Nothobranchius furzeri: one gene and its partner. The protein of the gene in region 2 binds, or shares a complex with, the protein of the main gene of each other region. Links are inferred from orthologs where the notes say so. Each region holds a gene or a part of one and is shown on either strand. Other genes may lie near its edges. The genes, in order: polr2k and gtf2h4.

Evidence for each region.
Region 1: gtf2h4 (region 2) and polr2k share a complex: the UniProt entries of both Homo sapiens proteins name them as parts of the TBP-based Pol II pre-initiation complex. The link is inferred for Nothobranchius furzeri from reciprocal best matches to the Homo sapiens genes GTF2H4 and POLR2K.

Annotation. Positions count from the first base shown.
Region 1 is NC_091759.1:1,438,832-1,446,901, reverse strand, and holds polr2k (DNA-directed RNA polymerases I, II, and III subunit RPABC4), read right to left. Parts: upstream 4,664-8,070; 5' UTR 4,532-4,663; intron 4,328-4,531; 5' UTR 4,322-4,327; coding exon 4,261-4,321; intron 4,006-4,260; coding exon 3,913-4,005; intron 3,812-3,912; coding exon 3,789-3,811; 3' UTR 3,693-3,788; downstream 1-3,692. Other genes in the region: stk3 (serine/threonine-protein kinase 3), read left to right, coding at 5,199-5,221, 5,913-5,993, 6,083-6,211, 6,309-6,423, 6,513-6,677, 6,772-6,939, 7,020-7,157, 7,241-7,366 and 1 more. UniProt on the Homo sapiens protein: DNA-dependent RNA polymerase catalyzes the transcription of DNA into RNA using the four ribonucleoside triphosphates as substrates.
Region 2 is NC_091751.1:25,567,047-25,575,773, forward strand, and holds part of gtf2h4 (general transcription factor IIH subunit 4), read left to right. Parts: intron 1-935; coding exon 936-1,019; intron 1,020-3,237; coding exon 3,238-3,379; intron 3,380-6,335; coding exon 6,336-6,466; intron 6,467-8,727. UniProt on the Homo sapiens protein: Component of the general transcription and DNA repair factor IIH (TFIIH) core complex, which is involved in general and transcription-coupled nucleotide excision repair (NER) of damaged DNA and, when complexed to CAK, in RNA transcription by RNA polymerase II.

The DNA of each region.
Region 1 (8,070 bases), on a different chromosome or scaffold from region 2:
AATCCATACTTTTTCTTCATGATTACTTAATTGTTAGGTTTTTATTTATTAAGTCCTTTAAGCTATACTTAAAGAGCAAGTCACCCCCAAATCAGCTTCTCATTTTTGCTGATAAACTAAATAAACGAGTGTCTAATTGTACTGCAGACACGTTTAGTCAATAATTTGGCACTTCAGTGCATTTTAGTTAAAATTTTAATTTTCTGCCTAAAACTGTCAGTGTTGCGCCATCGTCAGGTAAAAACTCTGCACTGTATTTGAATTTAAATCTGCCCCCGCTATTGGCTAAGAGGTATGCTATGATGTAAACTGGTACATTATGATGTCACAATGCCGTTGTGAGCCTGTGTGTGTGTATTTGTTAGCGGCTCCGCCCTCTCGGTCTGCCAGGCAACAGCATTTGTTGCATTTTTCAAACATGAAGTGGGAGTGGAGTAAGTTTCTTGTAGGGGGTGACTACTTGCTCTTTAAAGAGCAAGTCACCCCCAAATCAAAAATATTTTTGCTGATAAACTATATAAATGAGTGTCTAATCATGCTGTAGATATTTGTAGTCAAAAATGTGGCACTTTGGTGCAACTATCTCAACATGTTCCCCCCCAAACATTGAGTTTTTATTATTTTCAACATACTGGTTTACAGTGTAGTATTTAGTATTGAGTTCAGTGCAGTTAAATTCAAAGATTTAAATGTTTTTATCAAGCATTTGACCTAAAAATTAAAGGGTTAATATGAACACGCATAACCAGATCTATATCTATATAATTACACTTGGGGGTTAATTTAATCTATTAAAAACATGAAAATATGAAGATTTGGCCCTTAAATTGTATCAGGAGTAATTAATTGGCTAGTTTTTTGTTATTGTTTCCTCTGCTTTTAAAATTTTGTTATTCTTTGCACCTCTTCCAATGAAAAAAATATGGTTTAGATAACAAATTAAGACTTAAAAATCATAAGCAAGTGAAAAGAGTTACAAGTTGCTGTTTCACTTGTTAACATACTGCGTCTTCCTGACTATGTCAATTCATACTTTGCTATTCCTAGGCCACTTCTGATTTGTACACGACAAATCGTCTTCATACTCCAGGGTTACTTGTGGAGTACCACAGGGTTCAGTGCTTGGACCAATTCTTTTTACTATATATATGCTCCCAATTGGTAAAATCATTAGACAGCATGGGATAAACTTCCACTGTTATGCTGACGATACTCAGCTATATTTATCCATTAACCCTGATGAACCTAATCGGTTGGGTAGATTACAGGCTTGTCTTGAGGACATAAAACATTGGATGACTCTAAACTTTTTGCTTTTAAATCAAGACAAGACGGAAGTTCTCATCTTTGGACCAGAAATCCAGAAAAGGAAATTGCTTAGCCAATCGCCTGACCTGAATGGCATTACATTAATCTCCGAGAACAAAGTAAGGAACCTTGGTGTTATCTTTGACCAGGACATGTCATTCAAATCCCAGGTTTCACAAGCTTGTAGGACTTTCTTTTTCCACCTTCGGAATATTGCTAAGATTAGAAGCATCCTTTCCAGGAGTGATGCTGAGAAACTAGTTCATGCATTTATTACATCAAGACTGGATTACTGTAATTCATTACTTTCAGGAAGTCCACAGAATGTAGTCAAAAGTCTTCAGCTTGTCCAAAATGCTGCAGCTAGAGTTCTGATGAGAATTAAAAAGAGAGATCATATCTCTCCTGTCTTAGCTTCCCTACATTGGCTACCTGTTAAATTCAGAATAGATTTTAAGATAATCCTTCTCACATATAAAGCTCTTAATGATCAAGCTCCATCATACATCAGTGATCTGATTGTTCCATATGTTCCTAACCGAGCAATTCGCTCTCAGACTGCAGGTCTACTGGTGGTTCCAAGAATATCTAAAATTAGGATGGGAGGCAGATCTTTTAGTTATCAGGCTCCTCTCCTGTGGAACCAGCTTCCAGCTTTAGTCCGTGAGGCAGACACTTTGTCTACTTTTAAGAATAGGCTTAAAACATTTTTATTTGATAGGGCCTATGGTTAAAATCTGATGTTAGCCTAAATCTGGACAATTGGGGGAGTAGAGGGAGGTGGAGTGTACAGTCGGTAAAGACGGCTCTCCCTTGCCCTGACTCCAACATGCCTCCAACTAAATAGGATAGATTATCCAGAGTTATCTCTGTAGTTATGCTGCTATTGGCTTAGACTGCTGGAGGATACACTGACCACTTTTCACACTCGACTACTTTCTTCTACAATCTGCTCTTTAACTGCATTATTTTCTGCAATTTCAGCTGTTAACTTTATTTTCTCTGTAAGTGTTTTTCTCCCCAGAAGAAGCTACAACAATGTTCTGCTGAGCTGTGGTGGCCTCATGGAGGGGGCCATCGACTAGCACACTGCTGCTAACCACTAAAACATTATCCCTCTCCTGATAATAACTTTTTGCTTTCCTTGACGTGCGATGTGCTAATACTAGTTTATCCGTTTAATTATAGATCCACTAGAACAAACACAATAAAGTTTATCTTTCACCAAATAGAATATTTACTAAGACATCACAATATAACTATAGACACATTACTTGTCTTTGTGTGTGCGCGTGTGTGAGTATGCGTGCGCACGTGTGTGTGTGTGTGTGTCTTTGTGTGTGCGCGTGTGTGAGTATGTGTGCGCACGTGTGTGTGTGTGTGTGTGTGTGTGTGTCTGCTCTGTCTTCTCGATCCCCAGTGAGTCGTGGAGGATGCCTGCTTACACTGAGCCAGGATTCTCTGGAGGTTTCTTCCTGTTAAAAGGGAGTTTTCCTCCCCACTGTCGCTTTATGCTTGCTTAGTATGAGGATTGCTGTATAGTCACTGACACTAGTCAGTGACTTGATGCAATTTGCTTGGTTCCTTATATAGGAAACATTATTTCTGATTGGCTTAATGAACTGACCTGGATTGGTATGTTTATTATGTGAAGTGCCTTGAGACGACTCTTGTCGTGATTTGGCGCTACATAAATAAACTTGAATTGAATTGAATTTGTAAAAGCTAACAAAAACCTTTTCTTCACTTAAATATTTTTGAGTCAAACGTTTTTGAGAAACTGATTTTCTTTCCACATTTTATTTAGACACTTTTTTTACAATCTTCTTCGTAACTAAATATTCTTGTTACTAATTTCTTCTCTTGCATGTTTGATTAAAACAAGTCTCACTTAGAAATGAGACCCCATAATTTAACAAGATTATGAAAATTTTAAAATAAACACGACAACGTGCTCTCAGATAAACAAACCAAAAAACATTGGTGAATCTGTGAATTGTTGGCCAGCAGATGAGAATTTTCCTTCTTAGAGAAATGTGGTTAAAACTTTGAATTTAAATCCTAAAGGTTGATTTTTATTTCAGGAATGACTGTGGATCATATCTATTTAGCAGATGTGTTAAACTAACTGAAGAGTTTTCATCCTGTTAATGTTGCTGGCCACAAAGGATTTTAAAAGAAAACAGTCAAATCAAACTGATTTTTCTAAAATAAAACTTTTATGCATCATTATTATTTACTAAAATAACATAAGGAACACCTGACACAAACCGCGGATGCCAAAAACCAAAAAGGCTGAATTTATCTTGCTGCTCTAAGATGTTTCAGCAAGAAGTGCAATTTAGGAATGCCACGACCCGAATGAGCGAGAATCTACACCAACATGAAAGCTGAAGCCCCAGTTTATGTTTATTTACAAGGTCAGACTCAATAAAAACAGAAAACAACAACTAAAGATCAATCTGCAGCTCCACTCCTCTTCATCGTGCATCAAAAACAACCACTGGAATCAATGAGTCAAGGAAAATAAGCACACACACACACACACACACACACACACACACACACACACACACACACACGAGAGAGAGAGAGAAAGGATACATCTCTTTGTTCTCTTCTTGTACATGATTCTGTAGCCACATTCTCTGCATCTGATCGGGTCGCGGGCCTTTATTTCGTTTTCAGTGTGACACTCTGCATAAAAAAAAAATATATACATTTATAAAGACATATAAATGTATTTCAGAACTGCTGCAAAATTAATTTAGAACAGTATAATTGTGCAAACACATTAACAATCGACGTTTACATGCTGTCAGGCTAAAATGGAATATTTACTAATAAGAAATATGTTTTAATTAGTCATAACTAGTATTTTTCTGATGACTTTTCTATATTTCGTGAATAAAACCATCAAGAATTGCAATGATAGTTGCTTCATCAGCAAACCTCCACAAATGTAGATCATTGGTTGCTGCTTGGGCGGCTGTAGATCTTTCTGTGTGTCCATTTTGTTCTATAAAAGACAGAAATGTAAACATTTCATCAACAACCCTTCTTCTTGTTAGCATGCTAACAGAAACAGCATGGTGCTCCGGACATTAGCTCAAAACTGCATAAACGTCTCTGAATTTGGTGAAACTGTATACGCACAGAGCACAAATTAAACCGTGTACATGCATTTAGTTAATTACTGATGAAAGGAAGCGAAATGACTCACCGTTTAACTGCGTAATTTGGGAAATGTTTACTGTTTTCACACACTAAACCATCCGCTTTTACGATTGGGTTTCTGCGCTTGCGTCAAATTTCTTCTTCTTGGTTTTACAGGACGATCGACACGCTTTACGTGCCTTTACTGTCACCCAGCGGTTTTGAGGCATTGTGAATTATTCGAAACACATCTGAACTGATTTTAAAAATTGGAAGCAAAGAATTTTTTTTTGTATATTTTATACTAAAAATGTTCCTGTCTTGACACAACATCCTCTTGAAAGCAAATCCACAACACGGGTGTTTCATTTTTCAATTACCGTTACGCTACAAATTCTGGCTTAATTTAGTATTCTTTTGGGACCTTATGAATAAATTAGACTTTATTTAGAGTTTTTGTTTTTGACTCGAGCCAAACATTGTCAATCTGATTCGTAATTGTGTTTTTGTAAAATAAAACAATGTAAAGTGCGCTTCCGTCCCGACAGGGGGCGCTGTCGCAGCGTCGAACACAAGAATGTCCATCATTTGAAGAGCTCCCCCCAGCTGGCCCTCCTCCACTAGTTTGTGACAACAACGAATCTGCCGACAATGTCCACGTCTTGACTACCACTGACAAACCCGCGCTCTCTTTTTCATACTTTGTTTGACTTTTGTTTCCGAGTTGGTGTACCATGGAGCCGTCCGCGCCTAAAAGGTTTGTGAACGTTTGCTTTGAGACCTCTGCTTTACCACCAGGCTAATGTAGGCGGTAGCTCAGGATGCTAATGCTAAGCGAATTCAGTTCTCTCAAACTTTCCACAGAGATAAACAAGCAGAAAGTAAAAACACAAAACCGGTTAAAACCTCCATTGAGATTATGGTTTGTTTAATTGTTTAGACGTTTTTGGATTTCGCGTCGTTGGGGGTGATTTCATTGTCGCTTCAAAAATATATAATAAATTAAATGTGTATTAAGGAAAATCATAATTTATTCGAAGTAACTGTTTACTTTATTTTGGACCGATCTATTTACTGGTTAGCTTAAGCTAGCACCTTTTAAGTTAATTAAATTTAAAATGTATTTAAATTTTATAAGACAGTAGGATTAAATTGTTTATTATCTGTTTAATTTGTGTACATTGATACTAGGTTGCATTAAATCCAGATTATGATCAAAGACCAAAAATATCTCAAAATTTTTTTAAACAGTATTTTTATCTAGATTTCATCAATTATTTTCATCATTCCTCTTAAGTTATAAACACACACTCAAGTTCTCCTACAGAAAGTAATGTTTACTCTATAAAATAAACTTTGATGTGCATATATAAAGAAATATTGTGTCTTTCTTCCATTATTAAAGAGACATTGTGTTAAATACACAATATTTTTGCTGAATTTTTCAGCAAGCTGAAAAAGCTGAGCGAGGACAGCTTGACCAAGCAGCCGGAGGAGGTGTTTGATGTTTTAGAGAAACTTGGTGAAGGGTGAGATGTTTTAACTTGATCTAATTACTGTGTAAATCATAGTTTATTTAGTAGTTTCACTTAAAAGATGCATTTCTTTGTGTAATCAGCTCCTATGGCAGTGTATTTAAAGCCATTCATAAAGAGTCAGGGCAGGTGGTGGCCATCAAGCAGGTTCCTGTGGAGTCTGACCTGCAGGAAATCATCAAGGAGATCTCCATCATGCAGCAGTGTGACAGGTGACACCCCAACTTTCTTTAATTCTAATGAATGAGACTGTCCAAAGTCGCCTTTGCACCAGTTTTTTAGAACCACGTTTGTTTGCCTTCCTCTTAGCCCGTATGTTGTGAAATACTACGGCAGCTACTTTAAAAACACAGATCTGTGGATAGTCATGGAGTACTGCGGAGCCGGCTCTGTTTCTGACATCATCAGGCTGAGAAACAAAACGGTGCGCGTTTCTAAAAAGTTACAGCTTGGCTCATAAAATAGGTTAAATTGCTGATTTACTTTTGTATTTTCCTTTTTTTCCCACGTCAGCTGACAGAAGAGGAGATTGCCACCATCCTCAAGTCAACACTGAAGGGTCTCGAGTATCTTCACTTCATGAGAAAGATCCACCGCGACATCAAGGCGGGAAACATCCTTCTCAACACCGAGGGGCACGCCAAACTGGCTGACTTTGGCGTTGCAGGACAGCTTACGGTAACACTGTCGCCAAATGTTTGCAGCAATGCACTGATGCCAGCTTCAGTCGATCTCTGGCTGAATTTTGATGGTATGTGTTTAATGTCTGAAGGACACGATGGCAAAGAGGAACACTGTGATTGGGACGCCATTTTGGATGGCCCCAGAAGTGATCCAGGAGATCGGCTACAACTGTGTTGCAGACATCTGGTCTCTGGGTATCACATCCATAGAAATGGCTGAGGGTAAACCTCCCTACGCTGACATCCATCCTATGAGGGTGCGTATTCTTTAGTTTTTAATGAATTTAGGGTTTTAAAAGAAAACATTTGACACTTTCCCACTTTTGATTTCCCACAGGCCATCTTTATGATCCCCACCAACCCCCCTCCTACGTTTCGGAAGCCGGAGCTTTGGTCAGACGATTTCACAGACTTTGTAAAGAAGTGTTTGGTTAAAAACCCAGAGCAGAGAGCAACTGCAACTCAGTTACTACAGGTTGGAGCAAGAAGGTCTTCATCTGTACAATCCTGCTTCCAATCTGAGCGATTTAATTTCCTTTTCCTGTTGTGGAAACGCAGCATCCGTTCATCAGCCAGGCCAAGCCGGTCACGATCCTGAGAGATCTGATCACTGAAGCCATGGAGATGAAGGCGAAGAGGCAGCAGGAGCAGCAGAGAGAGCTAGAGGAGGAAGAGGACAACTCTGTACGTTTTGTTCACGTGCATTAACCAATAAAGTTCCAGTAAAACGTTTATACTGCAGGGGTTTGTCTCCTATAGGAGGACGAGACGGAGGTGGACTCTCACACCATGGTGAAGTCTGGAACCGAGGGCGCGGGGACCATGCGAGCCACCAGCACCATGAGCGACGGGGCACAGACCATGATTGAGCACAGCACCATGCTGGAGTCGGACCTGGGCACCATGGTCATTAATAGTGATGATGAAAACGAGGAGGAAGCCCAGAGATCCATGAGACGTGAGCACATATTTGAGAGAATGAGGGGGAATTTAAACATCTCTTTCACTTTGCTGCGTGAACTTGGCTTTTAACTTTGGTTTAAATGGATGGTGTCGGAAAAACTGGCTTCTTTCCAAAGAGGAAGAAGTGTTAAAACCATGCCCTCGTGACTGCTGATGCTACAAACGTGCTCTTTCACGTCAACCTTTTTGTTTTCCCACTTCACTATAAAGCAGCTCTTTGTCTGCTCTGACCTTCCGTTTTCCCTGAGGCAAACCAAAGCTTTGGGGAAAAAATTCAACACAAGCTCAATCTGCAACAGTCTCAAATTTTTGACATGCAGGATGGAAGCTGGCAGCAGCAAAATTTAGATGCATGTCTGCAAATTTGTTCAGGGCTCCAACTTGGAGTCAGGTTGGAAATGTGGGCAACTCGCAGCCTAAAGGTC
Region 2 (8,727 bases):
TGACACTCATGAATTATGCGTCCAATCGATGCTTTGGAACTCCTTAAGGATTACGCCAATGGCGAGATCCGAATGGGGAGAGCTTTTTTTTTAAGAGACCATGAAGACTTCTTCTAGAGCAGACCTAGTAGATCTATTTACTGAACTGGGCCCGGTGTCGGACTGCCCGCCCTGCCAGAGCAGTGAAACTGCTGCATTCTGGGGTTTTGTCTAGCCGGCTCGTTCCAGTGGGAATCTGCCCACAGGCAGATATTCCTTTGATTTGATGACCAAAATAGGACATTTCCAGCCTAAAACCCCTTTGGGTTAAATTTAATGTTCCCATTAGATGTGGAATATCTCAGTCAAAAGAACCATTATGCAGCTGATTTGGATGCATCATTAAAAGAACCATTGCCACCTTCAGATCTGACTATTTCTTTTTCATAAACACCCCGGATCTCTTGGTCAGTCTCACAGATCACCGCTGGAACAACGCTGTTCCACCTAAAGGCAATAAAAGGTTTCTTCGTGCCTCTACCTCGCCTACAAGCACATCGATTTTAGCCTCTGTGAAACAGCGTTGTCTAGACTTCTCCGTTGCCATGGGTAACTGTTTAGCCACAGATCAGCTGGCTTATTTCTATGCAGAGTGTTCATATAGTTCTTTGCATCGTCCATTTATGGCAGGAAGTGGGTGAGTATGAGTCAGGATATGATCCAAAATCACCTGAGGAAGAGTTGTTTCTTAAAGCAGGAGTTGTGTGCAGCTGTGTGTGTTGTGTATGTCCAAGTAACAGTTTGCATTAGTAAAATTTGTTTGCTTAGCTTAAGTAGAGTTTTAACACCGATGCTACACAAAGTTTTATAACCGGGGCCCCAGGACTGGATGCCATAGCATCAGGGAGTCATCTCCTGCCACGTCTCATGATTCTGTCCTCCGCTGTGTGCCTTAGGACTACTCTGTGGAGGGCATGAGTGAGTCCCTGCTTACGTTCCTGCAGCACCTTCGAGAGTTTGGTCTGGTGTTCCAGAGGAAGGTGAGGAAAACTAAGTGGTTGTGTTTATTCTGTTACTTTTGAACCAAACTGATATGTCTACTGCTCACTTGGGTTAGTTAAATACTCAGCTCTCACATTTGTGCTTCCATGTGGGTCTCTACTGCTTCTATCAACACTCCTAACACAAATAAAAATAAAGAGTAAAGCTGAAGAAATATGTGGGAGGGATTTAGTGCTGAACATGTTTTGTATCGGCCATAGTTTCAATACGCTTCTGCAATGTTTTAAGATTTGTTTCTGTCCAGTGTTGCATTCATTTATTGCCAAGATCTTGCTGGAGATAAAAAAAAAAGCTTATTTCCCACCAAAATTTGCAAATAAATTTTTCAAATATCAGACAAAATTATTTTCTAAATTTTTTTTTCTCATTTTGTCTCATAGTTGAGGTCTACCTATGATGAAAATTACAGGCCTCTGGTGGGCCAATCATAGTGCTCCATCTGCTTAGTGAACAAATCACAGAGCTTTAGCCGCTTTGTGGGCCAATCAGGGTTATTCTATATGCCTGGTGGGTGGGATGATGCAACAGAGTGAAACAAGAGTATGTCACATTCATTGTCCAGTAGCATGCAGAGATCATTTGAAAGACAACGGTAGAACCCGCCCCACAACCGAGAGCCGTCAATGGAGCGTGGCCAGACTAAATAATACATTTATTTAGTCTGGCTTGCCAGGCTAGCTTTTCATCAGTCTGAGATTCAAATATCAACTAACGATTCTCCAGAACCTTGGAGTAGGCCTTTTTTGGGAGGCTGAGTAGTGTGGTCCCACTATAGTTGGAACACACACTCTGGTTCCCTCTCTGAAAGTACAGGGACTACCACCCCTGATCTACATCCAGTGTTGTAGATGTTCTTGTGGTTCACGTCTGTACAACGAGGTGAGTGAAAAAAAGCACTCCGGTGTTTTCGGTCTTTTCACTAGCAGGGATGTTTTTCTGTCCCCCAGTCAATGGACTGATCTGTAGCTCTGCCCTAAATAATCCATTCCATTATCCAGTAGACCTACAGGTGAAGGGGGGCCCAGGAATGCGGTGGTACGGGTTGGTTTTATGGGCCACTTTGACAGTGGAAACGGACTAAATAGCAAACCGACTCATGCCGTACCACTCAGTGGAAACAAGGCGGTGGTTAGGGTTAGAGAGGAAAGCCAGCAGTTGAAAGTTGAGGTCAGAGTAATGAATTGAATTCCCCTGCTGGGTGTTTGATTTTTATTTGATAGGGCCTATGGTTAAAATCTGATGTTAGCCTAGATCTGGACGAGTGTGTGTGTGTGTGTGGGGGTGGGGGGGGGGGGGGGGGGGAGTGTACAGTCGGTAAAGACGGCTCTCCCTTGCCCTGCCTCCAACATGCCTCCATCTAAAAGGGCTAGGTTATCCAGAGTTATCTCTGTAGTTATGCTGCTATAGGCTTAGACTGCTGGAGGATACACTGACCACTTTTCACACTCTACTACTTTCTTCTACAATCTGCTCTTTAACTGTATTATTTCCTGCTACTTCAGATGTTAACTTTATTTTTTCTCTAAGTGTTTTTCTCCCCAGAAGAAGCTACAACGATGTTCTGCTGAGCTGTGGTGGCCTCGTAGAGGGGGCCATCATCTAGCACACTGCTGCTAACCACTTAAACATTCTCCCTCTCCTGATAATAACTTTTTACTTTCCTTGACGTTGGATGTGCTACTACTAGTTTACCTGTTTAATTATAGATTCACTAGGACAAATACAATAGTTTATCCCTGCCAACTAGAATATTTACTAAGGAATCACAATGTAACCATAGACACATTGCTTTGTGTGTGTGCATGTGTGTGTGTGTGTGTGCGTGCGCGCATGCGTGCGTGCATTTGCGTGTGTGTGTGTGTGCTCTGTCTTCTCCATCCCCAGTGAGTCATGGAGGATGGCTGCTTATACTGAGCAAGGATTCTCTGGAGGTTTCTTCCTGTTAAAAGGGAGTTTTCCTCTCCACTGTCGCTTTATGCTTGCTTAGTATGAGGATTGCTGTATAGTCACTGACACTAGTCAGTGACTTGATGCAATTTGCTGGGTTCCTTATATAGGAAACATTATTTCTGATTGGCTTAATGAACTGACCTGAATTGGAATGTTTATTATGTGAAGTGCCTTGAGACGACTTTTGTCGTGATTTGGCGCTATATAAATAAACTTGAATTGAATTAATTCCTGGTGTTTATGCAGAGAAAGTCCCGACGGTACTACCCCACCAGACTGGCCATCACTCTAGCTGCTGGAGTCTCCTCTTCCTCCTCTTCGCCTGCTGAAACTGCAGACGCAGGCTTCATCGTTGTGGAAACGAACTATCGTATCTACGCCTACACCAGTACGTACAAACTCCTTTTTTGCTCTGAGACTCTGAGTAGTACAGAAGATTTTAGCTTTTTGTCTTGATCAGTCATAAGTGGGACGTAATAGTTCCTTTGAGGCCTTGTCAGGTTCTGTAGTGATGAGTTCTCCCCAGGTCCCCTGGAGATGCACGATTTAATGATAAATGACCCACACTTGCATAGCGTCTCTCAGAGTAAGGACTCCAAAGCGCTTTACACTACAGTGTATCATTCATCCATTCACACTAACATTTACACACTGATGGTGATGAGCTACAATGTAGCCACAGCTGCCCTGGGGCGCACTGACAGAGGCGAGGATGCCGAGCACAGGCGCCACCGGTCCCTCCGACCACCACCAGCAGGCATGGTGGGTTAAGTGTCTTGCCCAAGCCCCCACAATGCGGGTGAAAAATTGAGGCAAACGCGGAAGTGACAAAAATTGCAGTTCCACCCTCATCCACTAGGGGCTGGTGTCAGAAGCGAGCAAATCCTCATTGACTCCCATGTTAAAAATACCAATTTCACAGCAGAAATAAACATGTTTACAGCCTGGTACCAAAACATGTTTTTTGTTTAAATGATCTAGTTTACACTCATGACAACTCTGAGGGGGGTGAATTTTTTTCTCACTCTTCTGTTTAAGTGTATTAAAAGCCTAAAATTCTGTATAATTAATGAGCATCAGACCCACGTGACCACAGAGCTAGCTCCGTGGAAAGGCCTCAGCAGAGCCTCGGTCTGGCCTGGAAACTGCTCCGGGATTTTGAGTCTCCGTGTTTGTGTATTCTTTTTTGGATATTTTTTGTGCAATTGTTGGACAAAATGACTTGCTGTGGCATTAATTGCACTAATAGAGCGTCCAAGGAGTCTCGACTTGATTTTTTACTGTAAGTAAAATTATATTTATGTATTTTAGGTCACTGCCGAGCTGAGCTTAGATTTTAACATGTACTGTTTAACCATGAAATTTAAATGTAATAGGGTAAAACCCAGTACATTTAACATAATGCTGCACTTTAGAAAATGGGTTGAAATATAACATGTTGGTGGAGCTGGGTTCCCACTATCGGCTTGTGGAGCTCTCGGGAAACCAATGTTTTCCATCCGGTTCTCCCCTCCCCGCAGCTTGGTCCATCTCTGTCTGATCGCGGCTTCTGTCTGCTGTGCGGGCTGCCGGCTTGTGGAGCTCTGGGATGGAAGCCTTTCTACCCGGTTCTCCCCAGCGGCAGCTCTGCGCATCTCAGATCGCAGCCGCGCCTGTCTGCTGTGCGGCTGCCGGCTTGTGGAGGTCTCGGAGACCTCTGTGTTCCACCCGGTTTTACCCAGCGGTCAGCCCGGCGTATCTCTGACTCAGAAGCTCCGGTGTTGTGCACAATTAACTCCGGTTGTAGCTAGGTTGCTACCTCCGTTAGCTTAACTCCCACCTCCGCGTTAGCTTTGGGTTAGCTTGTAGCTACATCACTTCAGTTCGACGGGTGTCGTCAATTTATCCCAGCCTTACAGCTCCACCTCTTTTCCCATTTTTGGAATTATCTGGGCTTGACGGAACCTGTGACACGGTCAAAATGGCGGTGGTGGCCACTTCCCATTTATCTTCAAAAATGTGTTATTGGAGCCTGTGGAAACCCATTGTACAATATTTATATGTCGTTGGTCTTGCCCAAGGACACAACAGCAGAATTCTCGGTCCGGAGCCGGGATCGAACCTGCATCCTTCCAATCACTGGAGAACCCACTCAACCTGTTGTGCTACTGCTGCCCCTTAACTCACTGAGGAACCAGTGGTACTTAACCACCAGTGTCACCAACACCGTTTTTTTTTATACATCACGTATCTGTTATAAAACACACTTGAATAAAACCTTATCCTAATAAACCATCAAAGCTAACTGTTCTGAAGAACCAACATGTGAGTTTGCTCTGACTTGGTACCGGTCTGTGTGAGAAGGGTCAGGTCATTGGCATCAAGCAGAGAAAACATCATAAGGAGATTGCAGAAACGACTAAAACTGGGTTAGGAACTGTCCGACGCTTTATTAATAACTGGAAGGATTGTGGGGACCCAATGTCTTCGAGGAAGAAATTTTGCCGGTAAAAAAAATCCTGAATGATTGTGATAGGTGATCACTTAAACCTTTGGTGAAATCAAATAAAAGAAAAACAACAGTCGAACTCTGGGCTAAGTTTAATAGTGGAAGTAAGAGCATTCCCACACACAATGCAAGGAGAATTCAAGTTATTGGGACTGAACAGCTGTGTAGCCATAAGAAAACCACTAATCAGTGGAGCAATCTGGAAAGAAAGGCTTTAATTTGCAAGAGAACATAAAGATTGGACTCTGTAGCGATGGACGGAGGTCATGTGGTCTGATAAGGCCAGATGAGCCCTGTTCCAGAGTGATGGTGCATCAGGGTAAGAAGAGAGGCAGATGAAGTGATGCGCCCATCATGCATAGTGTCTACAATCCTGTGGGGGCAGTGCTATGATCTGGGCTTGCTGCAGGTGGTCTGGTCTAGGTTCAGCAACAGGATGTGCTCCAAGAATGAGGTCAGCTGACTACCTGAGTATACTGAATGACCAGGTTACTCCATCTTCCCTGATGGCACGGGCATATTCCAAGATTGCTTAACGTACAGTTTATTAGCCGGCCTCTAGATGGTGTCCTCTGAGGAAAAAAATGCTGGATTTCTGCTTTAAATGACCTGAAGAACTCACAGAAGGCCAGGCTTGGTTTCCGTAGTCCACTTTTAATCTGGTGCAGTTCTGAAGCAGTTGTATCTGTCTGCAGGTGCTTCCACTAGATTTCCTGTCTCATTATCCCTGGCTCTGCCAAGTTTGTTTCTTGTTATTGAGTCTGTTGTTTACATGATTTTGTGTTGTTAAACTGTAACAGTGTGCTAAAAACCCTGGTGCAGCGCGGACCAACTGACTGGGTTTCTTCCCTCTCAGACTCAGAACTTCAGATTGCTCTTGTGGCTCTGTTCTGCGAGATGTTGTATCGGTTCCCTAATGTGGTGGTGGCTCAGCTCACACGAGAGTCGGTGCAGCAGGCCATCGCCAACGGCATCACAGCTCAGCAGGTACACACACACCCTAACTGCCAGTATTTAAAGTATTTTGTGCATTATTGAGTCGATCTGATTTTACACATCTAGACATCTGCCCAAATGTCAGGTGAGGGATCTTGTTGATAGTCCATGTGAGCCCTTGCTTATTATTACAGTTAGCTAGTAGCTTCTCAGTAACAACTGATGTGTGTGTTTCAGAGTGCAACACAAACTAGGCCATGGTTTGGTGTTTGAATGAGACTTGCTATGTACACATAACTTAATATATTGATGTTTTTAAAATTTTAAAATACCAGGCAGCTCCATTCTTTTAAATTATCTTTTATATAGCGCCTCTCAAGATAAAAATCACAAGGTGCTTCGCAAAAATTTTAAATATAAAAAAGATCTTTAAAATTTTTTTTAAATATGTTTAAAATGACAAAAAAGAAATGTGTTCAAAAATGTAAGGAAAGTAAGAGAGAAAATTAATATTAAAATGGATCCCAGGAAAGGCGGAATAAGGAGAGATTGGTGATGAAGGTCACACCAAAGCCTGAACAGGTGAGTCTTCAGCTGCTTTTTAAAGGAGACCACTGAGTCCACTGATCTCAGGCTCGGGGGGAGAGAGTTCCAGAGTCTGGGGGCCACAGCAGCAAATGATCTGTCACCTTTGGTCTTTAGCCTGGTGCTGCACAACCAGTAGGCTTTGATCACTGGACCTCAGGGACCTGCTGGGGGTGTAGGGACTAAGAAGATCACCAATGTAAGATGGTGCTTGTCCATGTAAGGCCCTATAGACCAGAACCAGGATCTTGAAATGAACCCTGAAGTTAACTGGCAGCCAGTGAAGCTGGAGGAGAAGCGGGGTGATGTGGGTGTGTTTGGAGGACTTGGTCAGAAGCCGAGCACAGGCGTTCTGAACCACCTGTAGACGGTTCAGGGAGGTTCTGCTCAGACACGTGAAAAGAGAGTTACAGTAGTCTAAGCGTGAGGAGATGAAGGTGTGGATAACTGTCTCAAGTTCAGAGCGAGACAGAATGGGACTCAGCTTAGCAATGTTCCTGAGATGGAAGAAGGAAGAGCGAACAAGAGAACTGACATGAGAATCCAGGGTGAGAGCTGGGTCAAAGGTCACGTCAAGATTCCTGACGGAAGGTTTGGTGTGAGAAGCAAGTTGACCAAGAGAATCTCTGACTTTGGGAACCAGCTTGTCTGGGGCACAGATGAGGATCTCAGTCTTATCTTCATTCAGCTGAAGAAAGCTCCCAGCCATCCAGGTTTTTATAGAGTCTAAGCAGGTGTGTAACAGCTGCAGCTTAGACATCTCATGGGGCTTAAAGGAGATGTACAGTTGGATGTCATCTGCATAAAGATGGTAGGAGATTCCTTTGAAGGAGCTCAGGATGTGCTGAAGAGGAAGCAGATAGAGGAAGAGCAGAGGCCCCAGCACAGAACCTTGTGGGACACCATGGGTAAGAGAGGTGGTGGAGGACCTAAACTTGGAGACGGCCGCAGAAAAGGAACGCTCAGAAAGAGAAGAGGAGAACCACTCCAGAGCAGTTCCTGATAGGCCTACCCAGTCTCTCAGCCTCTCCAGTAGCAGGTGATGGTCAACAGTGTCAAAGGCTGCAGTCAGGTCCAGCAGGACCAGAACAGAACAGTCCCCTGCATCACTGTGAGTCAGAAGGTCATTAGAGACCCTAAGAAGAGCTGTTTCAGTAGAATGAGCTCTACGAAAACCTGACTGGAAGCTATCATAGATGTTCTGTTCATCAAGAGCAGCTGTGAGTTGTTTAGCCACAACCTTTTCCAAGATCTTGGAGATGAACAGCAGTTTAGAGATGGGTCTGAAGCTGCTGTGGAGAGAGGGGTCGAGACTCGGTTTTTTAAGAAGCAGGTGGATTACAGCGTTCTTAAAGTTAGCAGGGACCTAACCAGAAACCAGAGAAGCATTAATTATAGAGAGCACGCTGGGACCGATGGACTGAAAAGCACCTTTAAACAAAGATGAGGGTAAGATGTCGAGGGGGCATGCAGAGGTCTTCATAGAGTTAACTAGTTTCGTTAACTCAGGCAAAGAAATGGTGTTAACCCTCACAGGCTCAAATTAAGTTTTGATCAAAGGACGAACAACTAAGTCCTTCAGGGGTACTTCTGAGTTAAAAAATGCTCATGAAATACGCATGTGGAGTAACCAGGTAGGTAGGTTTTAATGTTGCAAATCTGCAACACCTGCCTCCAGAGGGTTAAACAGCACCTTGGGGTTCCCCTTGCTCTGGGACACCAGGTTG